5 linked regions of the Cricetulus griseus genome follow. The protein of the gene in region 1 interacts with the protein of each later gene in a biochemical or structural test. Links are inferred from orthologs where the notes say so. Each region holds a gene or a part of one and is shown in the gene's direction. Other genes may lie near its edges. The genes, in order: Arf6, Cyth1, Cyth2, Arfip2 and Htr2a.

The links.
Region 2: the proteins of Arf6 (region 1) and Cyth1 form a complex in vitro, tested with the Homo sapiens proteins (2 studies listed by BioGRID and IntAct, with this or other methods). The link is inferred for Cricetulus griseus from reciprocal best matches to the Homo sapiens genes ARF6 and CYTH1.
Region 3: the proteins of Arf6 (region 1) and Cyth2 form a complex in vitro, tested with the Homo sapiens proteins (3 studies listed by BioGRID and IntAct, with this or other methods). The link is inferred for Cricetulus griseus from reciprocal best matches to the Homo sapiens genes ARF6 and CYTH2.
Region 4: the proteins of Arf6 (region 1) and Arfip2 form a complex in vitro, tested with the Homo sapiens proteins (2 studies listed by BioGRID). The link is inferred for Cricetulus griseus from reciprocal best matches to the Homo sapiens genes ARF6 and ARFIP2.
Region 5: the proteins of Arf6 (region 1) and Htr2a form a complex in vitro, tested with the Homo sapiens proteins (2 studies listed by BioGRID). The link is inferred for Cricetulus griseus from reciprocal best matches to the Homo sapiens genes ARF6 and HTR2A.

The regions. Positions count from the first base shown.
Region 1 is NC_048598.1:133,996,352-134,002,556, reverse strand, and holds Arf6 (ADP-ribosylation factor 6), read left to right. Parts: upstream 1-2,076; 5' UTR 2,077-2,256; coding exon 2,257-2,784; 3' UTR 2,785-5,503; downstream 5,504-6,205. UniProt on the Homo sapiens protein: GTP-binding protein involved in protein trafficking that regulates endocytic recycling and cytoskeleton remodeling. GTP-bound form plays an important role in the transport of multiple palmitoylated proteins form the Golgi to the plasma membrane.
Region 2 is NC_048600.1:130,746,895-130,752,471, reverse strand, and holds part of Cyth1 (cytohesin-1), read left to right. Parts: intron 1-3,154; coding exon 3,155-3,221; intron 3,222-3,497; coding exon 3,498-3,616; intron 3,617-3,957; coding exon 3,958-4,038; intron 4,039-4,922; coding exon 4,923-5,035; intron 5,036-5,577. UniProt on the Homo sapiens protein: Promotes guanine-nucleotide exchange on ARF1, ARF5 and ARF6. Promotes the activation of ARF factors through replacement of GDP with GTP.
Region 3 is NC_048599.1:154,707,471-154,713,722, reverse strand, and holds the start of Cyth2 (cytohesin-2), read left to right. Parts: upstream 1-2,793; 5' UTR 2,794-2,984; coding exon 2,985-3,003; intron 3,004-3,222; exon of another isoform or gene 3,223-4,073; coding exon 4,074-4,221; intron 4,222-4,317; coding exon 4,318-4,384; intron 4,385-4,861; coding exon 4,862-4,980; intron 4,981-5,504; coding exon 5,505-5,585; intron 5,586-6,169; coding exon 6,170-6,252. UniProt on the Homo sapiens protein: Acts as a guanine-nucleotide exchange factor (GEF). Promotes guanine-nucleotide exchange on ARF1, ARF3 and ARF6. Activates ARF factors through replacement of GDP with GTP.
Region 4 is NC_048596.1:94,062,261-94,068,328, forward strand, and holds the start of Arfip2 (arfaptin-2), read left to right. Parts: upstream 1-2,339; 5' UTR 2,340-2,489; exon of another isoform or gene 2,490-2,594; intron 2,595-3,269; 5' UTR 3,270-3,311; coding exon 3,312-3,410; intron 3,411-3,629; coding exon 3,630-3,726; intron 3,727-4,389; coding exon 4,390-4,508; intron 4,509-4,680; coding exon 4,681-4,902; intron 4,903-5,438; coding exon 5,439-5,596; intron 5,597-5,742; coding exon 5,743-5,917; intron 5,918-6,068. Other genes in the region: Timm10b (mitochondrial import inner membrane translocase subunit Tim10 B), read right to left, coding at 1,580-1,756, 1,920-2,015, 2,163-2,192. UniProt on the Homo sapiens protein: Plays a role in constitutive metalloproteinase (MMP) secretion from the trans Golgi network. May have important functions during vesicle biogenesis at certain cargo subdomains, which could be predominantly utilized by secreted MMPs, such as MMP7 and MMP2.
Region 5 is NW_023276807.1:229,100,380-229,105,956, forward strand, and holds the end of Htr2a (5-hydroxytryptamine receptor 2A), read left to right. Parts: intron 1-3,739; coding exon 3,740-4,542; 3' UTR 4,543-5,489; downstream 5,490-5,577. UniProt on the Homo sapiens protein: G-protein coupled receptor for 5-hydroxytryptamine (serotonin).

The DNA.
Region 1 (6,205 bases):
CACTAAGCCATCTCAAACAGCCCCCAAATTGACCTATTTTTAGAAAGTGGCATGATATTCCAAGTTTAAAATTTTCACTATCAGTGACTATGTTCTTGCCATTGTTAATTGTTTTGTATTATAATTATTCTTTAATAGTTTGTTATTGGGGCTGGGGAGATGACTCAGAGGCTAAAAAGCACTTGCTCTGTAAGCACAAATACCAGAGTTCAAACCTTCAGTCAGCACCCAAGTGAAAAGCCTGGTGTGGATTCAAGTACCGGTTGTTCCATAAGTGGGGTCACACCAGTAATCCTAACCCTATCCCCTCTCCTCGGAGGTGGAGGCTGGAGAATAATAATTTCAAGAACATCCTGAGCTATACACAGTGAATGTGATGCCAGCCTGGGACTCCAGCCTGAATTAAACATTAAATGTATTACGTGTCAAATGGTGACAGCCTAGGCCTAGGCTGGCCTAGAATTTATGCCTCACTTTCATCAGTTCGGGGACAGGCTGAGCCACCTTGTCTCGCTGGTGGCTACAGATTTTCTTAGGTTACAAAATAGAAACAGTATTATTATCAAACGCTGTTGTAACAACTTCTTTTAACTTTCTTTTCTCCCCTTGTGTTTATTTCTGCCCTTATTTGATATTTAAAGTTTCTATTCTAACCTTAACACTATTCATTTAATACAAAAAATGTTTCCAGGACCAGCTGGCTTAGCAGGTGAAGGTGGGGGCCGCCAAGCTTGATGACTTTTGAGTTTGATAGCTAGGACCCGCATGGTGGAAGAATTGACTCTGGCAAGTTGTCCTCTGACCTCTCCTGCGCACACGGACACTAAATGAGAAAGTATTAAAAAAAAAAAACCGAAACAAAACCCAAATAGGTTTCCTTATTGTTCGTGCAGCCCAGAGGTCAATTTAAGGGAGTTTTCTCCTTTCACCCTATGCGTTCTGAGCCTGGGGCACAGGTCCTCATTGTCGTCGGCCCTGATACTCTTTTCCTAAGAAACGTGGGCGGTTCCGACGAGACTTACAAAGAGAAGGAGTTTAAACGTTCCAAAGCAGGGTTTCGGAGCAAACCCAAGACTAGAAAAAAGTGAGGGCTACTTTGACGGACGGCTTCGGTGGCACGCCGACCTCCCACGTGTCTTCCAGGAAGCTGGAGGAAGTCGGGAGGCGACCGGGTAGAAAGGAGACCGTGTTGCTGGCAGGCTGGGGCGAGCGGGAGGGACGTTGCGCGGGGAGTCTGGGAACAAGCCTCGGCAGCGTGGGTGGGGGCGTCGGTCTCCAGCGCCGACGACGCCCACCCCGCAAGCGGCTTTGCACCCCGCGCCTCCGAGCGGCGGAGGAGGAAAAAACCGGGGAAGACCCCCCGGGAGAGCGACAGGTGGGCGCGTCGCCAACCCCGCGCCGCCGGGCTTCCGCGAGGCGCCTCCCTGGGTCCTGCGAGCCGCCGTAGCCCCGCCCCCCGGCGCGTGGCGCCCGTGACGTTGGGCGCGCGGGCCACCACTCTCCTTACTGAGGTCGCGCTCTTCCGAACGGTCGGGCCGAGTTGCGCACGCGCAGTCGGGAGGGGAAGTGAGGCGGTTTCCTCGGCGCCTTTTCCGGCGGCAGCGGCGGCGGCGGCAGAGCTGGGAGGAGGAGGAGGAGGTGCAGGCCGGAGGGAACCCGCGCTCGGGGCGGCGGCGGCGGCAGCTGGAGGTAACCCTCCCGGGCCGATCCCCGACCGGCGGGCCGCGTCGGCCTCCGCACCCACGGAGTCCCGGCGGTAACTCCCTTCTTCCCTTCTCTGTGTCCCTGCAGGCAGCACCGAGTTCCCGCGAGGATCCATGACCTGACGGGGCGCGGAGCCGCGCTCCTCGTCGGGTGACCCGGGTCGGTGGCGAGCCCGGTGCTCGCGGGCCGGCGGGAGGGCCGCGGTTGAGCCGCCGCGTGCCGAGGCGGCGGCGGAGCTGCTGTCGGCGGCGCCTGCGGGGGAAGGGCAGTTCCGGGCCGGCCGCGCCTCGCCTCGCCTCAGCAGGGCGGCGGCTCTCCCCGGCGCAGACGCAGGGCCCGGGCGGCGGGCGATGCCCGAGTGAGCGCAGGCCGGGCCCCTGCCCCTAGCAGGCAGCTTCGCGCAGGCCGCACGCAGGGCGTCCTCGCGCGGGGGCGGCTCCGTTTCGATCTCGCGGCGGTAGCAGCGGCGGCGGCGGCGGCAGCGGCGGCGGCGTTATAGGCTGAGGGGACCCGGGACACCTGAATGCCCCCGGCCCCGGCTCCTCCGACGCGATGGGGAAGGTGCTATCCAAGATCTTCGGGAACAAGGAAATGCGGATCCTCATGCTGGGTCTGGACGCAGCCGGCAAGACAACGATCCTGTACAAGTTGAAGCTGGGCCAGTCGGTGACCACCATTCCCACGGTGGGTTTCAACGTGGAGACGGTGACTTACAAAAACGTCAAGTTCAACGTGTGGGATGTGGGCGGCCAGGACAAGATCCGGCCGCTCTGGCGGCATTACTACACCGGGACCCAGGGTCTGATCTTCGTGGTGGACTGCGCCGACCGCGACCGCATCGACGAGGCCCGCCAGGAGCTGCACCGCATTATCAATGACCGGGAGATGAGGGACGCCATAATCCTCATCTTCGCCAACAAGCAGGACCTGCCCGATGCCATGAAACCCCATGAGATCCAGGAGAAACTGGGCCTGACCCGGATTCGGGACAGGAACTGGTATGTGCAGCCCTCCTGTGCCACCTCCGGGGACGGACTCTATGAGGGGCTCACATGGTTAACCTCTAACTACAAATCCTAATGAGCATCCTCCACCCATCCCCCGGAAGGAGAGAAATCAAAAACCCATTCATAGGATTATCGCCACCATCATCAACCTCTTTCAATTGCCACTTTCTTTTTTGAATCTGAACTCTGGAGTTACTGTTCTACGGTTTAGTGGGGTTGGGGTTTCCTCTTTTTCTTTTTCTTTATTTTTTTCTTTCTTTCTTTTTTTTTTTTTTTTTTGGCTTTGCGTTAGGATGCTCTGATCTGATATTTGACACGAAAACAGTGCTAGATGCTCTTGTGACTTCCAGCAAACGGGGTGGGGTAATAGCAGCTCTTGGTAAAATCCTTTATAATAATGGTTTGATTTTTTTATGTCGAGAGAATCTTTTTTTCCCCCCAATGTATGCTTTTTTCCTTTTTGCCCAGTTTCTTACCACTTGCTGTAGATGGCTTATTTTGCATTCATGCAGACTATGTTGCGAGTCTGTTTCATCTAGTAAACTGAAAATTATTGCTTAATCAAACTGCCGTTTGTCTTTTATATTTAAGGCCTTCCCCCTTTCCTTGTTAGTGCTAACTTTAGCAATTTCAAATGTGACCTTTTATATCCAAGACCAGTATGGTGAACTTAGCCCACAGTGGCAAAATAATGAGTAATACCAGTGTAATGTTCCAGTTGCACATCAGTGTGTGAAACAGGTAATGTAGGGAATCCCTTCAGGTGTCAGCTATTAAAGTGCATGAGTAGGAGTAAACTCAAGTTCCCTCACCATAGCTAACGTACGCTGCATAAAACAACTCACCTCTACAAGGGGGCAGATCTTTTAAACTGCAAAGTTAGTAACTTTGCTATTTCCCTCTCTTCTTCCTTTAAAAATAGACTCTTTCCAGAAAATGGAGCAATAATGGTGTACGCCACACAGATGAAATATTTGTAGATATTTTAAGTGACTTTCGGGCAAAATCGGCATATGTTACCTTGTTTCAAATCTCTTAAGACAAGTAGCTTTAAAATTACTAAACATTTACTTTGTTCACTAATAAAACATTTAAAAAGTCAAATTATATGCACCTTTTCCTAGCTGGAAAAAAAATACACATTCCTGTTTTCACATTACAGCAACTGATTAAACTGAAGATATATGACTTTTTTTTAAATAGATGAGTGATCTACATCTCCATTAATTAAAACACTGGAAAAGATGTTTTATTTAAAAAAAAGGTATTTAGTTTTGCTTGATTGTAGTATTAACTCATGCAAATAGATATCCTGTTGGTTCAGTCGTAGATCGTCTCCTTTAAGGAAGAAATGTGCTGAATGAGTGATGGAGACTGGAGGGGTGACACAGGGAGTAGGATGACGAGAAAGAACCTACAGATGACAATGAATGTAAATTTATTTTTCTTTAAGGGTAAGCATTGTGCTCTCTGGTGATATCCAGATCTTAACAAGATGAGCTGGTTAGGACCAGTTACTAGATTGAGACCACTATGGTGATAATTTTGAACCAAATGTTAATGTTGATTCAGAATTGTGAAGCAGCATCTGGTTCTTGTGTAGCCTTAAGGATTAATGTAGTGATCCTCAAGGAATGAAACTTAGGGAGTTTCGGAAATGTAGACTGCCAGGGCAGGATACAGGAAAAGGTGGAATGGTTCTGTTTATGAGGGTGTCTGAAAACTAAAGTCAAGCCGGATATCATGGTATCGTTGGACAGTATTGGTCCTTCATGTTTTGGCCATATTGTATAATGGAGCTTTTACCAAAGATGTATGAGAAACAGAAGGCTATACAAAAATGAGCTGTAAGTAAAACTAACTAAAAGCAGATGAGAAAAGGTGCTATGTTGTAGGCTCCTATTGGTGCAGAGGGATTTTGAAATCAAGACGCAACTAAAACCTAAAGTTCTCAGTTTCACATTAATAAAAATATCTCTAGAAATGAAGCTGATTCACATATTTAAGAACATTATAGTTGCTTTTAAAAATTCCCAAAGCTCCACCGTAAATGTAATTCTTAGTGTTTTAAATGATTACATTTTAAGGTACATAAATATGGTTATACAAATATCAATGCTACAGTAACATCCTGAAACAAAATAAGCACAAAGGTATAAATGCCTAAACTGGAGGAAACTTGAAACCCTCATGTTGATTCTTAAATGTAGTATTCTAACTTGTGACAGACAGATTGGTAGACAGCCATTTTTTTGTGTGTCTTAAAATAACTGGGGGCATAGTTAAAATTTTATACAAGTGATTGCTATTACTGAATGTTGCAGGTGAGATGGGTTATTTTTAGTTTATTTGAAATGTCTGAAAAGGGTGGGAGGGGGGAAACATTTGAAATTTGAAGAAAACCTAAACCTTTTGGAAAGAAACTGTAATTTTCACTTACATTTCTTTAAGAGTATATATAAAAGGTTTATAATTGATGTAGTTAAATTGAACCATAACCATTGGTGATTATGAAGCAGGAAATTAGAGCCTGCAGAAAAAGTTATAATGGAAGAATTACAAAAATAAGGTCCTAAAGATTTTGTTTAATTGCATCAATTTCTGTATTTGTGTGAATTTATAAACTTGCTAAGTTCTGAATGAGGTTAATCTTGTCTAATATAAGTAAATGAGTCTGTAGACTGTGATTCCCCCTTCCCCCAGCTAAAAAGTACAGTCCTTGGAATTGTTCTTTATGGTTGTAGTGTTGCTGAAGCACTAACATGCAGAAAATAAAGGAATTACACAGTGCAGTTTCTCACGTTATGTTACTTGGAGTAGATAAGTGGGATGTACTGGTATCTTGGGCTATGTTATTTTCCAGGATATATGGTAAAAAGTGAATTTGAGACTCATCTGACTTATAAAAGATAAAAAAGATTCTCCCCTAAATAGTGGCTATTTAAGGTGTTTTCTGTTTTAATTTTACCAATCCGTGTTCTGTGACAACTGAAGGTATTTAGGCCTCCCTTCCCCTTTGTAAAGACTAGGCAGGTGTTCCACCACATTGCTGGCTGGATCCTTGACTCTTTGCTGTAGTTTTCATTTTGAGATAGGGATTTAGTTGCTCAGGTGGACTTTGAACTTGTGATCCTTGCTCCATCCTAAAGTTGTTAGGGCTATAAGCCATCTCCACTGCAGGTGTCTATTTTTTCAAATTACAGTCTTAGCATTTTGAAAGTACAAAATTGTGTTTGTAAGGAATTGGCTTGCAGAGTTCTTTTTTAGTTGTCTTAATCTTTAATAGAGTTGGATTCAAAAATTCTTTGAGTTCAAAGTTGCTTGTTTGATTATAATTGTAGCCATGTGAAAGGCAAAATTGTGGATGAATAGCTTGAAATCATTTAAATATTCTTGTAAGCGTTCCCTACACTAGTCAAGTTTTTTTTTTTTTTTTTTTTTTTGTAGTTTGATTCTAATCTCATTGATGTGACATATAGTATGATTTAGATCAT
Region 2 (5,577 bases), on another chromosome or scaffold:
CACTTATTTAGTGGAAGTGGGCACACATGCCTCAGCACACAGGTAGTCAGAGGAAGGATTTCTGGAACTAGTTGTGTCCTGTTGTGTGGGTCCAGGGACTGATTTAGACTGTCAGCATAGCTGCAAGTCCCTGTGCTGCTGAGTCATCTCACTCTTCAGGAATGCATGTTTATTGCAGTAAGCTGGAAAAAGATGGAGAAGCACGAAGAAAACAGATTTCCCATCAGCAGCAGCCCAGAGAGAACCACGATTAATATCATGGTACACTTCCTTTCTGTGTCTTTTGATGCCATCGCACATGCGTGGGCTTCTGGGGTTACCATGGTCCCAGTGTGCACCAGACTCCAGCAGTATTGGCAGTGAGGCACTGAGAACACTCAGCTGGTGAACTTAAGAAACCAGGTTTCTGCTCACTGGGGCTCAGTTCTTCCCATGCAATCCTGATCTGCCCATCGTGAGCTAGACAGTCATGGCTGGTTTGGAGATGTTCTGTCTGAGTGGACAGCAGGGTCCCGTGGTTTTGCATAAACAAGCAACACCGTCATCTGATGAAGCTTAAAGTGTGAAAAATGCCCTCAAAGGGACACACAAGAGCTGACAAGATGGCTCAGCACACAACGGTGCTTGCCTTGCAAGCCTTGTGACCCTGGGGTTCTGTTCCCCGGTGGGAGGAGAGCACTGACCCCACAAGGCTATCTTTTGACCTCCACGCCCACACATGCACGTTATGTAGGTGCACACAAACAATATTAATAAATAAAAAGATTTTAAAGGCCACATAAAGAAGAAGATGGACTTTCATCAGTGCGTCTGTGAGCCCAGAGCCACACTTGAGTGATTTATGGTTTAAACTGGAGCGCAAACTGGTTTTCCAGGATTGCAGACCCTGAAAGGGGAGCTTTCCAGGAGATTCTGAGCATCTGTGTAGTCGGGGTTTGTTACTCGTTCTGGCTTTTCCATGGGTGGGTTGTCATGCTTCCAATCAAAGGCCTGATTAGCACTCGGTAGCAGTGACTCCAAATGCTATGTAAGAAGTAGAGACAGTGTAATACTACGGGTCGTAAAGCCTTCTCAAGTTAACCTAGTTGTTAAAGCTAGTACCCAAGGGAGGCTGTGCTGAAGTTGGGACAGCTGACCCATATGCACTGACAACATTAACCAGACAACTACAGTGACTGGGCCGTCAGTCACAAATAACAATGCTAGACAGGTAGGGGACAGGAGCTGACTCACAGAGCTGGGAACTTTGGCTGCATCCTGTGAGTATACCAGGCAGTCATAAACTACAGATGGCTTATGACTACGGATGGCTACGGATAGGAGCTGATTCATGGGAACCAGTGAAGTCAGCCAGTCACCCTTGTGGTGCCCAGGGTGGTCAGAAGCACCAGTTGTGGCTGGCAGAGATCTGGGAGTGTACTGCTGAAGTCTGGGCTTGCCAGAGGCCAGAAAGCCTCCAGGAAGGAACCAAACCAAGGCAAAGAATGCCGAGGGCCAGTGTGGATGGTAATGGGCCCTGCCATTGTAGGATTTCCAAGTATTGAACACTCTTATAGGAAATCACCAAGCAGCTTCTTCCTTCCTTCCTTCCTTCCTTCCTTCCTTCCTTCCTTTTTTTTGAAATATGGATCACAGTAATATTCCTGGATTTAGGGAAAACATAATTAGATAACTAACCTGAGACTTACACCAGTTCATTCCAAACCTCAAGTCAGCCTGGCCAAGCATGGTGGGCTCACATCTGTAATCTCAGCATTTGGGAGGCAGAGGCAAGAGGAGAGGTGTGAGTTTCAGCCCAGCCTGAGCTACAGAATGATCCCTGTCTTAACCAGGAAAAAAGAAAAGAACAGAGGGACTTTTCTACCTTTGGGGGATCTGGCCAGTGCTGAGGTGCTCCTTAAGACAATAAATAAATTATTTCTGAGTAAAACATTTGCTCAGAAACTGTAACTTGCTATTGGTTCTCAAGAGTATACCAGACAGGAGGGTTTAAATATCACCTAGATGCTACCCATAAAATGGGGTCACTCAGTGGCCCAGAACCTGTAACCCAATTTGTCTGTGGGACTGAACAAATGGGCAGGAGCCCTGAACCCTTCCCAGACCACTGGGTGACAGAGCTCCTGTCAGGGCCCAGGAGCATGTGTGTGAATGAGCGCTGGTATTCTGCATGTCTGACTTGCTCCCTCAGCTGTTCGGGAACCACACCCTGAGAAGCAAAGTGTGTAACCTGCACTTGTTTAGTCTGAGGCACAGCTAAGAAAACTGCTGCTTATTTGTACAGCATCTTAAAAAGCTAAATTTAAAAAAGTACGTAACCCTTGCCGGGCTTGGTGGCGCACGCCTTTAATCCCAGCACTTGGGAGGCAGAGGCAGGTGGATCTCTGTGAGTTCGAGACCAGCCTGGTCTACAAGAGCTAGTTCCAGGACAGCCTCCAAAGCCACAGAGAAACCCTGTCTTGAAAAACCAAAAAAAAAAAAAAAAAGTACATAACTCATCTATATACAACCTTGACTTTGCTGAAGGAAAACATGTCGACCACAAGGTGGGCAGGTGCTTCTGTAGCAGCTCTGTGGGTAGTGACCCCAAACCTGACTCTGCATCAGTCGTCTGAAGAGCAGATAGAGGTAGATGTGCAGAGGGACGCTGCTCAGCAGTAGACAGGAGTGTTGTGCTGACGAACCTTGAAGGCAGCATGCTGAGCTAAACAAGCCGGGAACGGAAGTCCAGACACTCCGTGATTCTGCATATATGAAAAGTCCAGAATTAGGCAGATCTGTGCTTAGAAGATAGACTGAGAGTCCCTGGGGCTCGAAGTAGGAATGTCGGTGAACTGGAAACGGGTGTGGTTAATTTTATGGGACTGATGAAAGTGTTCTAAAACTGGTTATGGTAATTGTTGCACAACTTAGCTTACTAAAAGCCATCCAGGTGTATACTCAAAACAGACAGATTCTACAATATGTAGACAACAAAGTTTAAGAAAATAAAAATTCTAAGAGAAACCATGAGTCTAGAGGGAAAGAGGCAAATGAGCCTGAGCCTGAGCCTGGGCCAGGGCGTCAGCTGACCACGCGTCTGTCAGTGTGAGGACTGCTCCAGCCCCCAGAATGCCCTGCAGTCAGGGCACTGATGGCTGCCCTTCTCTTTCAGGAAAAACATGCAGAGAAACAAACAGGTAGCCATGGGCAGAAAGAAATTCAACATGGATCCTAAAAAGGTAAGTGAAAAAGAAAGGGACAAAGCCCCTGCCCAGGTCTTAAGGTGGGGGCTTTCTTGGTGATGGGATGGAGACTGGATGAGTTTGTTCAAAGCAGCTGTTTTCTGGAGTTACTGTTGGGTGGTTCCCCCTACCGTCTTGCATCTGGGGCTCCGGTTCCTAACCTGCAATACTCCATCCTTGTGTCCACTGGTGGATGTTTCCTGGACACAGGCTCCAGGGCCCACACCCACGGCGGCCTTTACCCTTCCTCATTGTCACCGGCTCTTTCTGCAGGGGATCCAGTTCTTAATCGAGAATGACCTGCTGAAGAACACTTGTGAAGATATTGCCCAGTTCTTATACAAAGGGGAAGGGCTCAACAAAACCGCCATTGGTGACTACCTTGGGGAGAGGTGAGGCCTTTAGAGAGGGTGGTCAGAATCAGGTCAGAACAAGCCCCCTGGTGCCCAAGCTCGTGGGATGACTGTGGGATGCTAGTGCAGCAGTGGCCATATGGTGTTGAGTGGAGGTGCTCTGAGGAGCACTCACCCGTCCAGGGCTATGTAGCTTCCTGGCTTGTTTAGTGAGGAAAGAGGGCCAGGCCAATGTCCTCCCAACTGTGGATGTTCAGGCTTGAGAGGCCTCGTGGCCTGGGACTCAGGATACCATCTGCTTGGGACCAGGATGGGTCCTGGCCTTAGTGTCCACGACCTCACCTGTGCTCCATCCCTGTCTCTTTTTGGCTTCCTGACAGAGATGAGTTCAGCATCCAGGTCCTGCACGCATTTGTGGAGCTGCATGAGTTCACCGACCTGAACCTCGTCCAGGCCTTGAGGTGGGTGTTGTCAGCCAGGCACCGTGGAGTGGGAGTGTGTCCATCCTGTGTCTGTCTGACCAAAGTCCTGTCATTGGGGTTGTTGTGACTACTTTCAAGTATTCCAAGGGAGGCCATGTAACATACATGCCTGAGTGGGAAACCATTCGCTAGGACTGTCTTGGTCTTGGGGTGGAAAGACTGTTCATCAATCAAATATTGAAATTGTTTCTACTCTTCAGAATAGAAAACCTTTAATTTCTTACCCTAAACTAGGTAGTTGTGTATTTCATTTTAAAATTGAACAACAAAAAAAAGACAAACTTTTTTTTTTGTTTAATTTTCAAGACCAGGTTTATCTATCTAGCCCTGGCTTGTCCTCATTCTGTAAACCAGGCTGGCCTTGAATTCACAGAGATCCTCCTGCCTCTTCCTCCAGAGTGCTGGGATTAAAGGCGTGCGCCACCACTGCCCAGCAACTTTAATTTTTTAACCAAGTTTATTCTGTGCCTTTTAAAGAAATTGTCTTTTTAATTTTCTCTGCTGTAGGTATAAATCCTGAGCTTATTTTTTTGAGCTATGATTTTTTTAATGATTTATTTATTTATTATGTATGCAGTGTTCTGTCTGCATGTATCCCTGTAAGGCCAGAAGAGGGCACCAGATCTCATAACGGATGGTTGTGAGCCACCATGTGGGTGCTGTTAACCCCTGAGCCATCTCTCCAGGCTTTGAGCTATGATTTTAATACATGTAGTAACTGCAGAAATCACCCTGTGGTACTGTACCCAGGAGACTTGTCACATGACTGAAGCCCCTCACCTCCTTTGTCCTCTGCTGTCCTCTGCTGCTGTCCTCAGCAGCAGCAGGTCAGGTCAAAGCAAAGCTCCTGTCTCTACCCTTAGGCAGTTCCTGTGGAGCTTCCGGCTGCCTGGAGAGGCCCAGAAGATTGACCGAATGATGGAGGCCTTTGCTCAGCGATACTGTCAGTGCAATAATGGGGTGTTCCAGTCGACAGGTGAGTGAGGAGTCCTCTGTGCCAGTGTTGTGTCGGGAGAGCTTTTTCTACAAGGTTCTCTTCTTGGCAGTGAGGATTTCTAAGACAAGAGCTGAGTCCATGCAAAGAGCAGTTCCTCCCTCCCTCTCTTCCTTTCTTCCTTCCTTCCTCCCTCCCTTCGTTTCTTTCCTCCCCCTCCTTCCTCCCCTCCTTCCTCCCTCCCTTCCTTTCTTTCTCTCTTGCATTCCAATTCCAGTTCCCTCTCCCTGCTGCCCTCCCGCCTTCTCCCTACCCCACCCCCTCCATGGCTCAGAGAGGGTGAGTCCTCCCATGGGGAGTCAACAAAGTCTGTCACTTCACTTGAGGCAGGACCAAGGTCCTCCCCCCTGTATCTAGGCTGAGCAAGGTATCTCTCCATAGGGAATGGGCTCCAAAAAGCCAGTTCTTGCACTAGGGATAAATACAGGCTCCCCTGCTAATGATCCCACAAACTGCCCAAGCCACCGAGCTGTCACCCACATTCAGAGGGCCTAGTTCGTTCTTATGTAGGTCCCCCAGCTGTC
Region 3 (6,252 bases), on another chromosome or scaffold:
TGCTCCAGGAATTACAAAGCTATTTCTAGAATACACAGAACATTGGTAGGTGTGAGTTTGGAAGGACACTCTGGAGTACTGGCTGGTTAGAGTTCAACTGAGGGGGTGAGTCTAGCTTCCCCATGATCCACAGGGTAAATTTTGTATTTGTTTGAAGTGCCATTCTTAGAACATCCAAAGGAATCAGGATTCCATGGTTCAAGGTTGGTCAGAGTCTGGGTAGCAGTCTCGATGTCTGTGCTTTGCTGGCTCCACTTTGCCCAGCAGTGCTTAAAAATCTCTTGTGACCTTTGGTGACTTCCTGTGGTTCTGTAATGCCAAAAGGAATCAAAGCACCAGGGGCCCAGAGCTGTCCTTTCCCAAAGCCTCGATGTCCTGGTCACCTTCAGGTGGACATCCTGGTAGTTCTAGGAAGCACTCTTCTGGGCGGAGCTTGCAAGCAAGAGCCTAGAGGGTCACAGGGCTAACTAGGGGGCAAGGGAAGGGAGAGGCTGAGGCTGGTGAGCCTAAAATATTCTGGAATACTATACCTAGTGATGTGTGTCTGTTTCTCAAAAATATTATACATATGTGTACTATATATGATATAAATACAGATCTCTGTCTTTTCTGTTGGTTCCTGTAATAAGATGTGAACAGAGTCAAGCCAATTGGAGCCCCTTGCAGAGATCTTAGAAGACTTACTTTAAATCCCAGCAACTCCAAGTAACTTCAGGACTTTAGGCAAACCTTTCCTTGTGTTGCTTCAGTTCCTGGAACAAGGGCCACTAGAGCATGAAGTTCTCCAAGGGTCCTCCCAAACAGGATGGCCCTTCACCTGATGGAGGCTAGGATACAGTGCAGGTCCTAACATTTCCTGTCCCCACCCTCATACTGAAACACACAGCATTCCAGGGGTAGTTGGAAGGGGATACTGACTTGATGGCTGGTTCCATATTGTATGTAGATTATAGGACCAGCAAGAGGAAGCAGGAGCTATCACCAAGAGTCAGTGCTCCAGGTCAGGGGCTGGGGATGGAAGGGGCAGCTGTTATCTCCAGGGTCATGTTCACTGTGAGAAAAGTGGAATTCTCAGGGGAGCCCTATCATTGTAGTAAAGGCTCAGGAGCTCCAGCAGGGTGCCTGTGTTTCTGGAATGTTGGTCCTTGTTCTTGGTCTTCACCCATAGTACAGCCACCTAAGTGCCCAGCAGGCTGGTGGCCAGCAGGAGGGGAGCTGCCAGGAGGAGGGAGTGCCCTCTCCCTTGTTCCCAACAGAGAGCCAGCATTGGCACTGGCTTGCCTGAGTGAATCCACCCACCCATGCCCTCTCTGGCTCTCATCTTGCTTTATCCTTCAGAATCCCCAGGTAATAACCGGACAGGATTAATTAGCTGGCAGCTCTCCCACCCCTGGGTCTAGGGCAGGGAAGGACTAGGGATGATGGAGACCATAGTGGAGAAAATTGCTAAGCTGATGTAAAGAGGCAGGGGCATGTGGTTCTATTGGGAAGTAGAGGGTGGGATAGGATTGGCACAACCAGGTCTCCAGCAAGGGAGGGCATGGGTCAGGCCACTCATAAAGGTCAGAGAGGGGATTAGGAGGCTCCATGACTAATCCAAAGACTTAACCAAGTCCTGGCTCTGAATCCTCCCGACCTGTGCAGCCCAGGGACACAAATGAGGACAAGACCTGGAAGTCACATCAGCCCCATTATGGGCCTATGATTTACAAATATGCCAGAGTCCCCATCACAGACAGGACCCTCACTGCTTTTCCTGCAAAACAGAAAGGATTCTGGGAGGGGGAGGCGATTAAGAAGGGCAGGACTTTGAGGACTGAAAAGCTGGGTGGAAGGAGGACCTAACCACAGAGACCTGGAGTGCTGCCAAGAGAGTCAGTGCACATTCTGGAGGCAGAGGCAGACAGATCTCTGTGAGTTCGAGACCAGCCTGGTCTACAAGAGCGAGTGCCTGTGACAGGCTCCAAAGCCAAGAGAAGCCCTGTCTCGAAAAACCAAAAAAAAAAAAAAAAAAAAAAAAAAAAAAAAAAAAAAAAAGATTCTGAGGGAAGAGGATGTCTTGGGCAAATATCTGGGGAAGGCGGGATTTTAGGAGGAGGAAGCTAAGACGAGCGTTTAGGAGAGAGGAAGAGCCTGAAAGAGAGAAAGCACCAGGAGGGTAGATCCAGGGTATTTGTGGTCCCCAATACATTTGGAAGGGATAATGCCTTTATTTTACCATCCTTTGACTGAGGAGACTGAGGTGTGGAGGAAAGTCACGTGAGGTGGTACGGAAAGAGTTCAGAGACAGCCACTGCCTGAGACAGAAGTACCCTGAGGAAGAAGGCAAAGACAGGACTGTGCGGCTCCCAGTTGCTTGGCAACCGCCGCGGTCAAAAGCTAGCGTGGAGGGCCAGGAGGTGTGGTCCCAGGAAACACCTCAAGGTTGAGACTCCGCCCTTGACAACAAGACTAATCAAATACCACCCCCTAACAACGAATTTCTGAAAAGGTTAGGCCGTCTTAGTCTGGCTCGTGCGCAGGCGCAATCCTCCCTGCTCCACGAATCCCCACCTCCTGCTCCCTCCTTTTTGAGTTTTCTTATTGGAGGATAAAGCTGCCAGGGATTTTCCTTTGTTTCGGGGGCGGGACCAAGCCCCTGGACGCACTTCGATTGGTCACTCTAACAGTCTATCGCTAGCTGTACGTGCCTGCAACCGCTTCTTGTGTGTCTATTGGTCCTGGAAATGATCCTGTGGTTTCGGGGGCGGAGCAGTCTGGGAGACCCGCAGCCGATTGGGTGGTGTCAAAGCGAGGGGCGGGCCCCAGCGGCCGGGCGGTTGGGCCGTGAAGGGAGAGTCTTTTCGGCGCTGAGGACTGGCGCTGAGGAGGCGGCGGTGGCTCCTGGGGCGTTTGAGCGGGCTCACTCGAGCCCGCGGGCCGACGCGGACTCAGGCCCAGCCGGCGGAACCGCCCCGGACTCCCCGCGGGCTTTTCTAGCCGCCATGGAGGACGGTGTCTACGGTAGGCCAGGCGAGGCGGGAGGGCGGAGTGGCTCCCAAGCCCCGCCAAGGACAGCCGAGCGGTGGTAGCGAGGCGCTCTTGTGCGCGCGGAACGGGCTTCCGGCGCGACCGAGAGCCGGGGGTCCCGGCCATTGTTTGGGCCGAGCCCTCTTCCGGCGGCGGCGGGCGGGGCGGGGCGGGGGGGCGGGGCGGAGCGACAAGAGCGGGGCGGGGCGGGGCGGGACGTACACCCGCGCGAGCCGCTGCCTTTCTTGCTGCGAACCTTGGTTCTGTGACCTCCCTACCGATCCTGACCCCGGTCGTGATGCCATGGCTTGTCTTCACTGAGCACCCAAGATTCAGACCACAGATCCAGGAGCCAGAACCTCGGTTCCTTTCCAAGAAAGGCACCCAGGATTCAGGACCCCAACTCTCCCACTATTGTGGAGCCAGGGATCAGGCCTCCTTACAAGAAATGTATCCAAGCTCCATGCCAGGGTCCCCACCGTGGTGGACCCAGGAACCAGAGTATTGGTGTTTTTCCAAGAAATGCACCCAAGGTCCAGGATCCCAGGTCATCAGCCATGATGGAGGGACCTGTTACCTTCCAAGAAATACACCCAGGATCTGGGGCCCCAGATCCCTTGCGATGATGGAGCCATGAGCCCAAGGCCCTGTGTCCTTCCAAGTAATGTTTTCAATATCCAAGCCTCCCGTTCTACTGTGATGGAACCAAGGAACCAGGGCATCCAAGTAAAACATCTAAAGTAACATCCCAAGAGTTCCTCATTGTGGTGATGGGTCCAGGAGCCCAGGGACTGGTTCCTTTCCAAGTAATACACCCAAGATTTAGGTCCACACTTTCATGATGAAGGCAGGGCTCCATCTTTCCAAGTAATGGGCCCAGAAGTTCATCCCCAGACCTATTAAGAGATGAGATTCCCAGGCACTTCTGCCCCAGACTAAGGGTTCAGAGTCTTACTCCCTCTTCCCTAAGAGTTGTAGTAGCCATTTCTCTTCTGGACAGGAATCCAGGCTCTTAGCCTTAATCTTGGCCCCCCCAGAACTCATTTCCTGACCCTGACTCCTAGAGCCCCCAGACTTGACTCCGGAGGAGCGCATGGAGCTAGAGAACATCCGACGGCGTAAGCAGGAGCTGCTGGTGGAGATCCAGCGCCTGCGAGAGGAGCTGAGTGAAGCTATGAGTGAGGTGGAGGGTCTGGAGGCCAATGAGGGCAGGTGAGGACTGTGGCGAGCTCGTGGGACACAGGGCTTGGCCAGGGCCCTGGATGCTCAAGTGTTGACCTTTGGCTGCTGCCCATCCTGCTTTTGCAGTAAGACCTTGCAGCGGAACCGGAAGATGGCAATGGGCAGGAAGAAGTTCAACATGGACCCCAAGAAGGTTAGTTAGCTGAGCAGATATATTCAGGCATGGTTTTGATATCCTAGGTTCTAGAAGTGTTAAGATAATAGGTTTCCTCTAGGCAAGACTCCTGATCCCTGTCCATCTGTTCCATGAATGTTCATGTACTGAGGCCTCTGGGAGCCCGGTCCTGTGCTGGGCAATGCTGGGAATGCTAAGACCCTGCCTTACTCTGAGGGATCCCCCTAGGTGTAAGTGCTACAGTTCAAGGTGAGATATGGCAGTAAGGGAGGGGTGCTGTGTTTACAGCTTGATGGGTAGGTATCTGCTTCTTTTTTTATACAGTGTATCATGTATTCAATTATTCTTCAAACCTGTTCCAGCTATACATGCCGGAATCAGTTAGGCAGAGGTTGAGAGGATGGGCTAGGGATGACCATGCTCTGTTAGGGTGGAGAGGCTTGGATGGGGAGCAGCAGCCTCTGCCTTGGCATAAATCTGGCATCCTCCATCCAGGGGATCCAATTCTTGGTAGAACACGAACTTCTGCAGAACACACCTGAGGAAATTGCCCGCTTCCTGTACAAGGGTGAGGGGCTGAACAAGACAGCCATTGGGGATTACCTCGGGGAAAGGTGAGCTGCCCAGCCTGTACAGTAGTACTCCCAGCCTCAATAGGAGTTCATGGGTAGAGCAGGTTTGTGGCCTCCACCTGGGTCATGATATAGTGGACTGACTGGCTCTGAGGGAGCTTGAAACTAGAGGGAGATGGACCTGTAGTCATCCAGTAAACAAGGACACTGTTGAAGTCTGAGTGTCACTGGCTTAACCACGCATATACAAGCTAGCATATGGAAAGTATTGTCTGGAAGTTTTTATCATGGGTCAGAGCTGCAAGTGTTTGGAGACCTGTGGACATGTGATTGCATAGCAACTGGGAACTAGCTATGAATTCTTAGACAAAGGTCAGTTCTGAGATAAAGGCATCTGGGAAGCGTGAGAGCAGTTGCAAGATGACATCAGGTGGTCTGTGTACTCAAAGATCTGACAAGCTACAAGAACAAGGTTCATCTGCAGGAGGGTGGCATAGTAAATGAGATGATACTGCTATGGCTCCTGTCACTCCTCCTGATGGGACTCTCTCTCTTCCCTCCTCCAGGGAAGAGCTAAACCTATCTGTGCTCCATGCTTTTGTGGATTTGCATGAGTTCACCGACCTTAATCTGGTGCAGGCCCTGCGGTGAGAATGGGACAGAAATGTACCTGCCAGGACTTTCTCAGTTGTGAGGAACATACCATTCCAACAGAGATGCAACAGTCAGGAAATGACTGTCTCTAATAAACAAGTTCAGATGGGGCCTCCTTCAGGCTTTCTCTTGGTGTATTCAGTGGATCTTCCTACATGACAGCAAAAAAGCACCTGGCAACCCCAGTCCAGTTTAGCCAACTCGGGGTAGAAAAAAGACTTTTCCACTATAGATCCACCAGAATCCATGGCCAGAACCTACTGGTCTGATCAAATTACATGCCTACTGAAATAGCAGCTGGGGCAAGAGATTTTGATTCTGTTTGTTTGGGGGGTTGGGGTTCAGACAGCATTTCACCGTGTAGCCCTGATTGGCCTGGAACTCAGTAGACCAGGCTGGACCCGAATTCACAGAGATCCACCTGCCTCTCCCTCCTTCCTGGGTGCTGGGATTCAAGGTGTGCATCACAATGGGCAAGGTTTGGATAATGATTTGTCCGATTCTGACAGAGACTTAAGAAAGTAGAGTGTTTTCCCAGCCCTGAAACCTATGCCAGACCAATTTCTCCCCTAACCAGGCAATTCCTATGGAGCTTTCGCCTCCCTGGAGAGGCTCAGAAAATTGACCGGATGATGGAGGCCTTTGCCCAGCGATACTGCC
Region 4 (6,068 bases), on another chromosome or scaffold:
TATTAATAGGGTCTTGATATGCTGCCTTCAAACACAAAATTCGCAATCTGTGAAGTGCTGGGCTTGTAGGCATGCATAACAAGGCTTAGAGCAAGAGCTGTGTTTTAACACGAAGCCCACTATTTCAATTTTTTGGCTGGCCAGCTCTTGGGCAGTAGAGGCAGGAGGATCAGGAGTTCAGGGTCATCTTTAGTTATTATGATTTACATGTCAGTTTTGAGACCTCCCTCCCCAATCTCAAAAATAAAAAAGTAAAATGCATATTTATGACCTGTAGGTGTGTGTGTGGGGGGGGGATCTGCTTTGTAAATAGTTGATTTTGGCTGGGATTTTAAAATTTAATTCCTTGGTAAAAAAGGAAAGCTGTTGCCATACGTGAAAGGATGGGATGGGATTAAGCAATGAAGAGGTAATGGGTAGCTTAGGTTGTTAAGAGTCCCTGCCTGGCATGCACAAGCCCTTGAGTTGAACCCCCAGTAAAACAACAATAACAAATGCACATCCCATACTGTTGCTTGCCCTGCATCCTGCCATTATCCTTGAAGCCCCACATGGTAGTATATGCCATTTCCTCCTTCCTTCCTTGTCCTCATACTGGAGATGACATCACGGAAAAGGCAGGGCCAGGAAAGGAGGTATCCTCCTGAATACAGATGTGAACCCCACAAAATGAGGGGGCAGTAACAAAACAAGAATAGAGAGGCTGGATCAGTTACGGTTGAGAACAATGTAAGATGGAAGGTAGAGAGCTGGAATTAGGAGATTCCAGACAAACAGTGAAACACTAAGGAAGCATTAGGAGCCACACAGATTATATTTAACCACCCCTCTATCACCATCTACCTTTCCCTTTGATTTCTCTTCTTTAGATTTGACTAATGTAGGCCTTCTGACTTGCCTTGAAGACAAGAAGAAAACCCTTCTTTGTTTAAAGTCCTTATTGCTGATTTCACAAAGACAGGAAATATTTAAGATGGTAAACTGGGGAAATGATTGAAATTCTAGACAATATTCCCACATTCTTACAGGCTTATCTTTGATCTCCTAAGAATTGGTGGCTAAAGCCTATTGTGGTGCTGTTTTCTTCTTCCTCTTGTTGTCTGATATCACATTCTTCCCCTAGATGCAGCACAATTCTTTTTGTATTACAGCTCAGAAGAAAACTAGTTATTATGCAATATATATTCAGGCATTTGAGTTAGGCTCAAGGATAGCCACTGAGAGCTCCCCTTTTGGAACCAATTTCCCATTGCTATTACTAACCTTAAAACTATGTTTTTGCTGGGGATCTGAGAATGCTGAGTTTGTCCTACTACATTACAGAAGGCAATTTCTCAACTGCCAGGGCTGAGGGGAGAAGATAGGCACTAAATGGCAGAATAAAGGTTGGTACCAATAAGTGGACATAAATAAATTCCTGCCCAGAAAATCAACCAGAGTAAAAACCCGGTTTATTGGCTCCAAGAAAAGGAGCAATAGTGCCCAGCTTTCAGGCTCAATCTTTCTGTACAAATTTCGACAAGCCCAAGGTTCATAGAGGAGCCCATCCAAGCACCTTCTCTCCTGGGGCAGGCGATGGCTAGCTGCCTGATGGCGAGTCTCTGGGTTGTTCTGCAGTAACACCTGGCACGGCCGAGGCAGCCTCGTAGTCCGCGATGCGGCGCTGGACAAGGGCGGGCATGAGGTGGACGTAAGCGGCCATGAGGCGGTGGTTAGAATGGATGAGCTTCCCAGCACAGCTGTGTAGACAGGCCTCCTGGAAGGAAGACAGAGGTAAGCAGAGACCAAAAGGGGTCCTGTCAAGCCCTCCTCTCCGGGGCCCCAGCCTAGGGGTGAGGTCATGGGAGACCGAGATGCAAACGGGGGGTGGGAGGTGGACACGTCACGTTGTCAACCTCTGGGGTCCCCACAGTCCCCACCTCCTCAGCGTCCAGAGCTCGGTGGTGCAGGCTGGGCACACAGCGCTGGAAGCACAGTTCTGTCATCCGATTGTAGACCAACAGGAAATCTCGCAACTAAGAGAAAAGCGGATCAAGGCTTCACCACCGCTGAGGGTTCCTGGCGTGCGCAGTGCAGCCTGCCTTCCCCACTGGGGGTTCTTGCATGTACCCCAGAAAACAAACCGCACGTCTAACCCCGAGAACAACTTAGCTCTTACTCACGTTTCTTAGTTGCTGCTGCTGCTGCTCCATCACGCTCGGGGCACGCAGCCCACTTTACTTCCTCCCTGGGGGCGCGGAGTCACCCCGGAAGTAAATTCTCCCTAGTCACCAAGAGCTTCAAGGCGTGGTTCCAGTATCGCCCAGCCCATGTCTGCTAACGTCACCTCCGCCCTTTTGCTCTGCGACGTGGCCGGCTTCTTCTGCCCAGAGGGCACGTCACTTCCGCCGAATCTCTGACCTGCTGCTAAGATCGCGACGGGAACTGGAACCCGAGGTCCCCGCGCGGTCCGGCCCTCGCGCCCTGAGGGGAAGAGTGGCCCGGCCCAGGTGAGAAGGACATACTTGTACGAAAGGAAGTTGAATGCACGAACCTGTGCGGAGGGCAAGATGCCCTGAGCCCTTGGCAAGGATGAGGACACACCTGATGCCCAGGTGTGTGGGGGGGTGGTGGAGGGGACCTCTCACATCTGGAAGGCATAAACTGACTTTGGAAGGGACTGCCTGTGTCCTGGGAAAGAAGCTTTTAACTGACACCGGGAACACACCAGCTGCTTCAACTAAGGCCTGGTGGGGAGGGCCTGAGGGAGGCAGGTGCATGAGATGGAGAAAGGAGAGACCATTTGAAGGAAGAGGGGAAGGAACATCAAAGGATTTGAAAGACCAGGGATTGCAGAGCATGCTTGAGTGGCAAGTGAGCATCCGAGTCTAGGAAAGGGTTTTGCCTTCTGGTAAACATGCCTATGCAGGGCCAAGTTCCCAAAGAGCACAGACATTCCCCTCTGGCCCTCACTGCTGTAATCCCATTGCCTCAGTATCTGACGCATAGTAGGCACTCACTAAGTGTTTGTTGAGTGACTGAATGTGTAAAGGTTACTAAAGGTGAGGTTGGGGTTTGTGAGAAGACACCCAAGGCTTTGGTATACATGCATCTGTAGAAATAATGTACTTGGAAGAGAAGAAATACACATCTCCAGGAAAGTAGGGGCTGATCTCCAGGGACACCCAAGTCCTAACAGACAACCCCTGAAACCTATTAGAACACAGGGAAGGCCTCCTTGTTCTGGAGTGCTGGCCAGTTTCCAGAATTGTCTGTGTTGGGCTTTACAGCGTGCTGGGGTGGAGACCTTGACTCCAGTACCTTCCCTAGCCATGACGGACGGGATCCTAGGGAAGGCAGCCACAATGGAGATCCCAATCCATGGAAATGGTGAAGCTGGGCAGCTTCCTGAAGACGATGGGCTGGAGCAGGTGCTTCTGTTTGATTCTTCTAATTGTTTCAATTTAGCAATCCTGACTCTTGAATGTTTCGCTTTTCCCATCCCAATAGACTTCATTTAGTTAGTCCTCCTTATAGTTTTCAAGTCGTCATTATGATTCTATACAGACTTTACTATATACTGTCTCTATCCCCAAAATATTTCAGCCACCCCCATGTTCCTGAAGTGCCCCCTCTTCTCTGATCTATAGGACCTCCAGCAGGTGATGGTGTCAGGACCCAACCTCAATGAAACTAGCATTGTGTCTGGTGGCTATGGGGGCTCTGGTGATGGACTCATCCCCACAGGTATGAATGATAAGAGACAGGAGGCTTGAGTGGGAGGGAGACTAGGAGGCACATAGAACACATAGGAAAGCGTGAATCATGGATTGGAGAAACTTGAGAACTGCTAGTGTGAAATCCATAGACTGTCCAATCCCAGATCAGCTCTCTGAGCTCATCATCTGCTTCCCACTTGCCATTTAGATTCTAGCTTTCTCAATTGTCTTTTCTTTCCCTGGTGCCACCACCTGAGCCAAGTTAAGACCTATAAGTCACAAGAGCTCTGCAGCTTAAGGCTGATTTACAACTTTGTGAAGCTTCTCAGAGTTTTATAAGAGTCTTATACTGACTAAAATTCTACTTGGAAATACAAACCAGCTTCCCTGTTTTCTGTGCCCACCAGCTTTGACCCTTCCAGTCCCACTCATCATGTTTGCTTCTGTTTCTTCCTTCCCTGTCCACCCAACAACACTCCTACACGACCCCAGGAATGCCAAATACATACATTGAGTTGCTTTGGTTTTCGGGACCTAAGTCCCCGTTCCCCCTAATGAGCAGAAGAATTCAGTTATCTAGATTTCCTCTTTTAGAGAGGTCATTTCATGTGCTGGGAGGGAAGGAAGTGAGGTCACAGAAGTATCTGATTGTATGTGAGAGAAATTGGTGTTAGAGAACTTGATCCTTTAGGGTCTGGCCGCCATCCATCTCACAGCACCTCACCTTCTGGCCCTGGTGATGAGGTGGCCCGGGGCATCGCCGGAGAGAAGTTTGACATCGTCAAGAAATGGGGCATCAACACATATAAGGTAAGAGTCGAGTGCCTCTTCCCAGAAACTCTCCATGGGTACCTTTTCCTTTTCCCCAGATCTTAATACATAGTCTTTTGCTATGACTAAGAGAATGGGGGTGTTGGAGTAGTTACTTGTCGGGGTTGGGGTGGAGTTTAGATTTCTGACCTCCCACCCACTTCCCAATCAGTGCACAAAGCAGCTGTTATCAGAGAGATTTGGCCGAGGCTCCCGGACTGTGGATCTGGAGCTAGAGCTGCAGATTGAGTTGCTGCGTGAGACGAAGCGCAAGTATGAAAGTGTCCTTCAGCTGGGCCGGGCACTGACAGCCCACCTCTACAGCCTGTTGCAGACCCAGCATGCACTAGGGGATGCCTTTGCTGACCTCAGCCAGAAGTCCCCAGAGCTTCAGGTGCCTCAGCCAAAACAAAGAGGGTGGGGGTACTGGGCCCTGGCCCTTCCAGGCAGGCATTCCTCAGCCTCCCTCCCTCCCTCCTGCAGCCCCCAGGGAGAACCCCTCTGGGGTGTGCCCAGTCCTGCCCCCAGCATCACTCACCTATGGAGGCAGCCTAAGGGTTTGTACAGAGGTCCAAAAGTTGGAGGGGTTGTGGGAGAGGGCGCTCTGGTGCCTCACAAGTAACCCTTCTCCATATCATCAAGAATGCCTTTGGTGCTTGGCCTAATCAGAGTCCCTCCCCTGCCTGCTGCACTAGCTTTCCCTGTTCCTGTCTTCTAAACTTACCTAAGACTCTACTCCCACATTCCTACCCCAGGCATCCCCTAGGCGACCCTACTAACTTTGTGGCTAAGAGAGCCTTGCTAGAGGCAGTCTGGTTGTTTTAGTTTTGATGGCTGTTTCTTCTTTGGGACAGAAGGAAATAAAGGGCTCTGCAGCTCCAGTCAGGTAAGGACTCTTACTCAAGGCCTGTGCCTCCCTTCTGCCCATAGGAGGAATTTGGCTATAATGCAGAGACGCAGAAGCTGCTGTGCAAGAATGGGGAGACGCTACTAGGGGCTGTGAACTTCTTTGTCTCTAGCATCAACACACTGGTCACCAAGACCATGGAAGACACACTCATGACTGTCAAACAGTATGAGGCTGCCAGGTGTGGGCACTGAAAGGGCTCAAGGTTTGGGAAGTTGGCTGGCATGGGTGAAAATTCGAACATTTAGGGGCATACAAGTTCAGGAAGGAAAGAGTTACATGTATGGATGAAGAGGTGGAGACCAGCCTTTATCACCCCCTTCCCAGGCTGGAGTATGATGCCTACCGGACAGACTTAGAGGAGCTGAGCCTAGGTCCCCGGGATGCAGGGACACGTGGTCGACTTGAGAGTGCCCAGGCCACTTTCCAGACCCATCGAGACAAATATGAGAAGCTGCGGGGAGATGTGGCTATCAAGCTCAAGTTCCTGGAAGAAAACAAGGTGCTGCCCTACTCCCTTGGTCCTAAATCACCTTCCCATCTGACAGTGCCCTTCCCTTCAGACTCTCCTGATTGTGGGTGGGGAGATGCAGCCAGGCTAGGGACTGGGTTCCCCTAGCCCCTTGATACCTGAGCACTTTCAGTTCACCTTC
Region 5 (5,577 bases), on another chromosome or scaffold:
ACATCCCATAGGGGGTGGATAGTTTGTGTGTCTTGCCAACCCAAGACAAAGTAACAAATTTCAACTGATCGAGGGGTTGGGTGCCTTAGGCTGTCCTACATTCTGGTTCACTGAAAATGGCCACTCATTACAAATTACCAGGTAATAAGTAATAGGGCAAAAGGCTTTCAAGGTGGGACCTTCCTTGTATTAATCAAGAAAATGAATACTCAAGAGTTTAACAACAAAATCATATACCTTTTGGACAGATGATAGTCTGTTTATTTGCATCATGACTAATAGTAATGGCTATAATCCATCACATTAGAAAAGTAATCAACAGTGCTAGCCATACCAAATTAAAATTGATTGAGACCTCACATGACCCTGGCAAAAGCTAATAATTACATCATTGTTACATAGCCAATAGTAAGCAGCCAAAACACTATTTTGCTTCTTTTGGTTTATAAACTCTGTTATATAAAGGCTAGCATAGAAAGATTAAACAAAATAAATTAAAATAAAACACTGCTGATACCTTTTTTTCTCAGTAATGACACCAGGAAAATTATTGCCACCTGCTTTTCAGTTGTTATTCTATCTCCTTTGGGTCATGCACCATCCTGGTGCTCTGCATATTTGATCCATTTTATCCCCATTCCATTCATGAAGGCACATTGGCACCAGCCTCATATTATAGAAGAACTGAAAATCACCCCAGGAGCCCAGAGCCATAGCCAAGACTCAAATCTAAACCCATCTGAAATGGATGTCCAGTGTATCCATTCTAATCAGTAAGCAGGGAGTCTGTATAATGAGACTGGATGACTACAAGAAGCATCTCTCACAGATATGAGTTCAAATATTGGCAGAAAAAGAAAGCTCTCTTATAAATCATAGGTTATCTTTTAGGGTTAGTTTTCTGAAATTTGGTGAGGTATCAGAAGGTCTCAGAGGAGGGTTCCCCTACAGTCATAACTCTTGGCTCAGAGGATGTCCTCAACAATGTGGCAGGGACACAGTGGCAATAAATTAAGAGTTATTTACCACAAAAATTATCACTGGATGTCATTTATGTTCACCTTCCAAAAACAAAACAAAACAAACAAAAAAATCTGGAATGATCTTGCATAGACAAGTGACAAATATTATCATTAGAGACTGTGGAGTTATGGGAAAATGACACTCAAAGGGAGTCTTATCAGACTAGGAAAACAGTTCAGGGGGCAAAGTGTATGCCGGGCAAGTATGAGGACCCAAGTTTGGATCCTAAATACTCATGCAAAAATCTGGGCATGGCAGCAAAAGGGAGGGACCAGATGGAGACAGACAGATCAAGGGCTCACTGGCCATCTGGACTAGCAAGATGGAAACAGATAGATCAGGGGGCACTGGCCTTCCAGTCTGGCTTAAATGGCAAGCTCTGGGTTCAGTGAGAGATTCCCGTCTCAAAACATAAAGTGAGGAAGTGATTAAGGAGGATGGCAGCCTTAGGCTCCAATATGGCCCCAGATGGTGGGCAAGCGCTCTCTCTCTCTCTCTCTCTCTCTCTCTCTCTCTCTCTCTCTCTCTCTCTCTCTCTGTCTCTCTCTGTCTCTCTCTCTCACTCTCTCTCTGTCTCTCTGTCTCTCTGTCTCTGTCTCTGTCTCTGTCTCTCTCTGTCTGTCTCTCTGTCTCTCTCTCTGTCTCTCTCTCTCTCTCTCTCACACACACACACACACACAAGAGGGCGGGGGAGACAGACAGATGTTCTTGCGAAATATCACTCTTAAGTTCCAGCTACTGTCCCTCCCAACAGCAGAATGTTAGGACAGCCACACCGGTGTTTGGAGAGCGCCAAACTCATTTCTGACCATGCAGAGTTTGGTTATTTGTCTCTTGTTTTGTCGTTGCTGCTGTTACTGCTGCTGCAGTGTTTGTAGTACACGTCCTCAAAGGAAACTTTTCCTGTTGGATGGCAAGGCAGGGGTTAAGCAGTGGCCCCTGACTCTGTGCTGAGCTGGCCTGAGAGCAGCATCTGGGGCTACAGAGCCTCTGAAAGCACCACCAGGGCCCTCTATCAGGCAACTTGGGAAACTGAAAATACAGGAAAAGTGCAGGAAGGAAACAAAGCCTCTGTCCATCCTTTGGTGAAAGAGGCAAACTTGGAGTGAGTTTTGCAGTTGTTTCTTCTCCTTTCCCATCTCTGCCTTTGTGGCAGAGAAAATAACATAACAAGAAGTGAACCATGGTTGCTTTGGCTTAATCAGCCTCTTTCAAATTGCCTGAGCTCCAAATAGGAACAAAACTTCCCATCAAGGTCAAGCTAAACTTCACAAAGTAGGGTCCAATCACCATGAGGAAAAATTAGCATGATCAGAGCCAGCTGTGATATTTCCTCGCTGCTGTACTCCTCTGCCTGAGCGTGTACCTGAAGGACCATTAGAGATGCTCCAAATCTGAGCATAGAGCAACTCACTGGCTGCAAGCCCATGTTCCAGTGTACCTAAGTCATACATTTGACAATAAAAGTCTGCTGCTGTCTTGTTTTCGGTAATTCATCCTATCAGGTATTCTGCTGTGAATATATATGACTTTTATGAAACAATGAGAAGTCTGAACACGAATTCTATATTTCATGATGTGAAGGAAACAGTAAGTTTCTCTTCATGGTTAAGCCAGTATGTGATCGAAGATTTCTCTGAAAGTGTGTCACTTTTAGATCTACACAATAAGATGTATACCTGTTTAATCATGTGATGTCTGAGGTTTACTTCACAACAAGGAGGACCATCCCAGACAAAGATGACACAACATTCATTTTGAGCTCACAAGTGTAAATGCTATAAGGCTTCCCTGGGACAACATTTGCCTTTGTTCTTTTTGGATTTTGCAGATGTTAAAATTTCTCCAAGATAAAAGCTTTTTAAAGCTAACCCAAATTCATTTGGATTATCTGAAATTAGTATCAGAAAGTGTTTTTTCAAAAATAGTTTAAAAACTTGTTTAACTTTAAAGCTGTACATGTTGGCAAATACACTCAAGAACCTGAAGAAGTGGGATCTATGTGAGTTTGAGGCTAGCCTGGTCTAGTGTAAGACCCTGTCTCAGCAAGCAAAAGCAATTCAGTCTTATAATGAATATAAAATGGGAAAGGAAGATCTAAAACTGCCTATAAAGTACTGTGTAAACAAAAGAAATGTAACCTATGTTCCCTTGGCAGTGAGAATAAATGCTATTTTATTTATTTACTTTTTAAATATTTCTCAGATTTGCTAAAAAGGAACTATATTAGACTTGTAACTTTACAAAGTAAGATATGCTGATAATATAAAGTGAAATGGGGCTGGAGAGATGGCTCAGCCGTTAAAGGCTAGGCTCGCAACCAAAAATATAATGTGAAATGGAAAATTGCAAAATAGTAGATAAAGTAGAAGCTTGTTCCTCTTCCCAGTATGTGAGTGCACGCGTGCGTGATGTGTGTGATGCGTGCTTAAGACAAACAACATTAAATTGCCCACGGAAGTTTGTCTGTTGGTCTCTGGATGGAGGTGTTAGTGGTCATTTTTTATTTGCTTCATTTTGCCTCTGTGTATGTTTTCTCCAAAATAGAATCAGAAAAACTATAGAGTAAGAATTAGCCCAACTCTCATTGCAGTAATATATTAAACCTTAAAGTAAGGTGGTATAAATTCTTTGACCAGCCAGCATTTTGTAGTGATACTCTCACCTTCATATACGCAATTGCTTGATCACGTGTCTCACCCTGCTTCCCTTCCAGGTGTTTCCATGCCGATCCCAGTCTTTGGATTGCAGGATGACTCCAAGGTCTTTAAGCAGGGGAGCTGCCTGCTGGCCGACGACAATTTTGTCCTCATAGGTTCTTTTGTGGCATTTTTCATCCCCTTAACCATCATGGTGATCACCTACTTCCTCACTATCAAGTCCCTTCAGAAAGAAGCCACCCTGTGTGTGAGTGACCTCAGCACTCGGGCCAAATTAGCCTCCTTCAGCTTCCTGCCTCAGAGTTCTCTGTCATCCGAAAAGCTCTTCCAGCGGTCCATCCACAGGGAGCCAGGCTCCTACACCGGCAGAAGGACGATGCAGTCCATCAGCAATGAGCAAAAAGCGTGCAAGGTGCTGGGCATCGTGTTCTTTCTGTTTGTCGTAATGTGGTGCCCATTCTTCATCACCAACATCATGGCCGTCATCTGCAAAGAGTCCTGCAACGAACATGTCATCGGAGCCCTGCTCAATGTGTTTGTCTGGATTGGTTACCTCTCCTCGGCTGTCAATCCACTGGTCTATACACTGTTCAATAAGACTTACAGGTCTGCCTTCTCACGGTACATTCAGTGTCAGTACAAGGAAAACAGAAAGCCACTGCAGTTAATTTTAGTGAACACTATACCGGCGTTGGCCTACAAGTCTAGTCAGCTCCAGGCGGGACAAAATAAGGACTCTAAGGAAGACGCTGAGCCGACAGATAATGACTGCTCTATGGTTACACTAGGAAAACAACAATCAGAAGAGACTTGTACAGACAATATCAACACCGTGAATGAAAAGGTTAGCTGTGTGTGACGGACTGGTTGCTGTGACGCTGGCACTTGAACAAGTTTTTAGCCCTTGTGTGTGGGGGTGGGAATAAGGAGGCTGGGACAAATTAGACTACTCCAGTGACTCAACAGAATCTATATGCCTCATTGTATTCTGTGTATGAAGAGCAGTGTACCACAAAATGTGCACTTGGACAATGTCCTGACGGCATTTGAGCTGAGTGTTATGGTTTTATCATTGTCCTTTTAACCTTGTCAGTGAGATCTTTAAGATCATTGTACTTTACTGTACAATTACAATGAGGCATAAAATCAATCTAATTAATTTCTATTATTCAAATTGAAACCTTGCTGCCATGTTGTTGATGGGTGGCGCAGGAGTGAGTTGGTGAACTATTATTGTATATAAAAATAGCTAGAAATACTAAAATAATGAATAGCCTCTTTTAAAAAAGTGTTTAAAATTCACCATGACACATATTTTGAAAATAAAAAATAGTATTATGAAATTTGTATTGCTAATATAAATTAATTGAAATACTTGACAATATTTTTCATTCTTGCCTTTTCATAGATGCCATTTTGAAATGTTCACAAGATCGCTGGCATTTGCTGCATTTGTCATTTAATTCTCAGATGTGGAAGGGTTTTAAATGTTACTCAATAACGTGCTGCTTTCTCTTCTACTTCTTGGGCTTAACCTGAATTTGCAATGTGATCTTGTTTCGTATATTTTCCTCTCTGTAAACTATCAAAGGATAATTTTGCTTTTCGAAATACAGTTCTAGAACGCGCTTCAAAGAAACAGCACCCTGGAGGTATTTGGTCACGCACTGTGGGACCACTGCATTGTGCATGCGCCCTTTGAGCTGTGACCAGTACATTGATTTGACTGCCACAGCTAAACAATAAACTCAGGTTTCTCGCTGTTAGCAGTAGCTTCTTAGGCTGTTTCTGAAAAAAAAAAAAAAAGTCAAGTGACTTTCTTATTGACACTTAATCAGGTAAAACTGATGTTTTCAAAGGGCTGGGGATATAGCTCCAATGATAACAGTGTTCC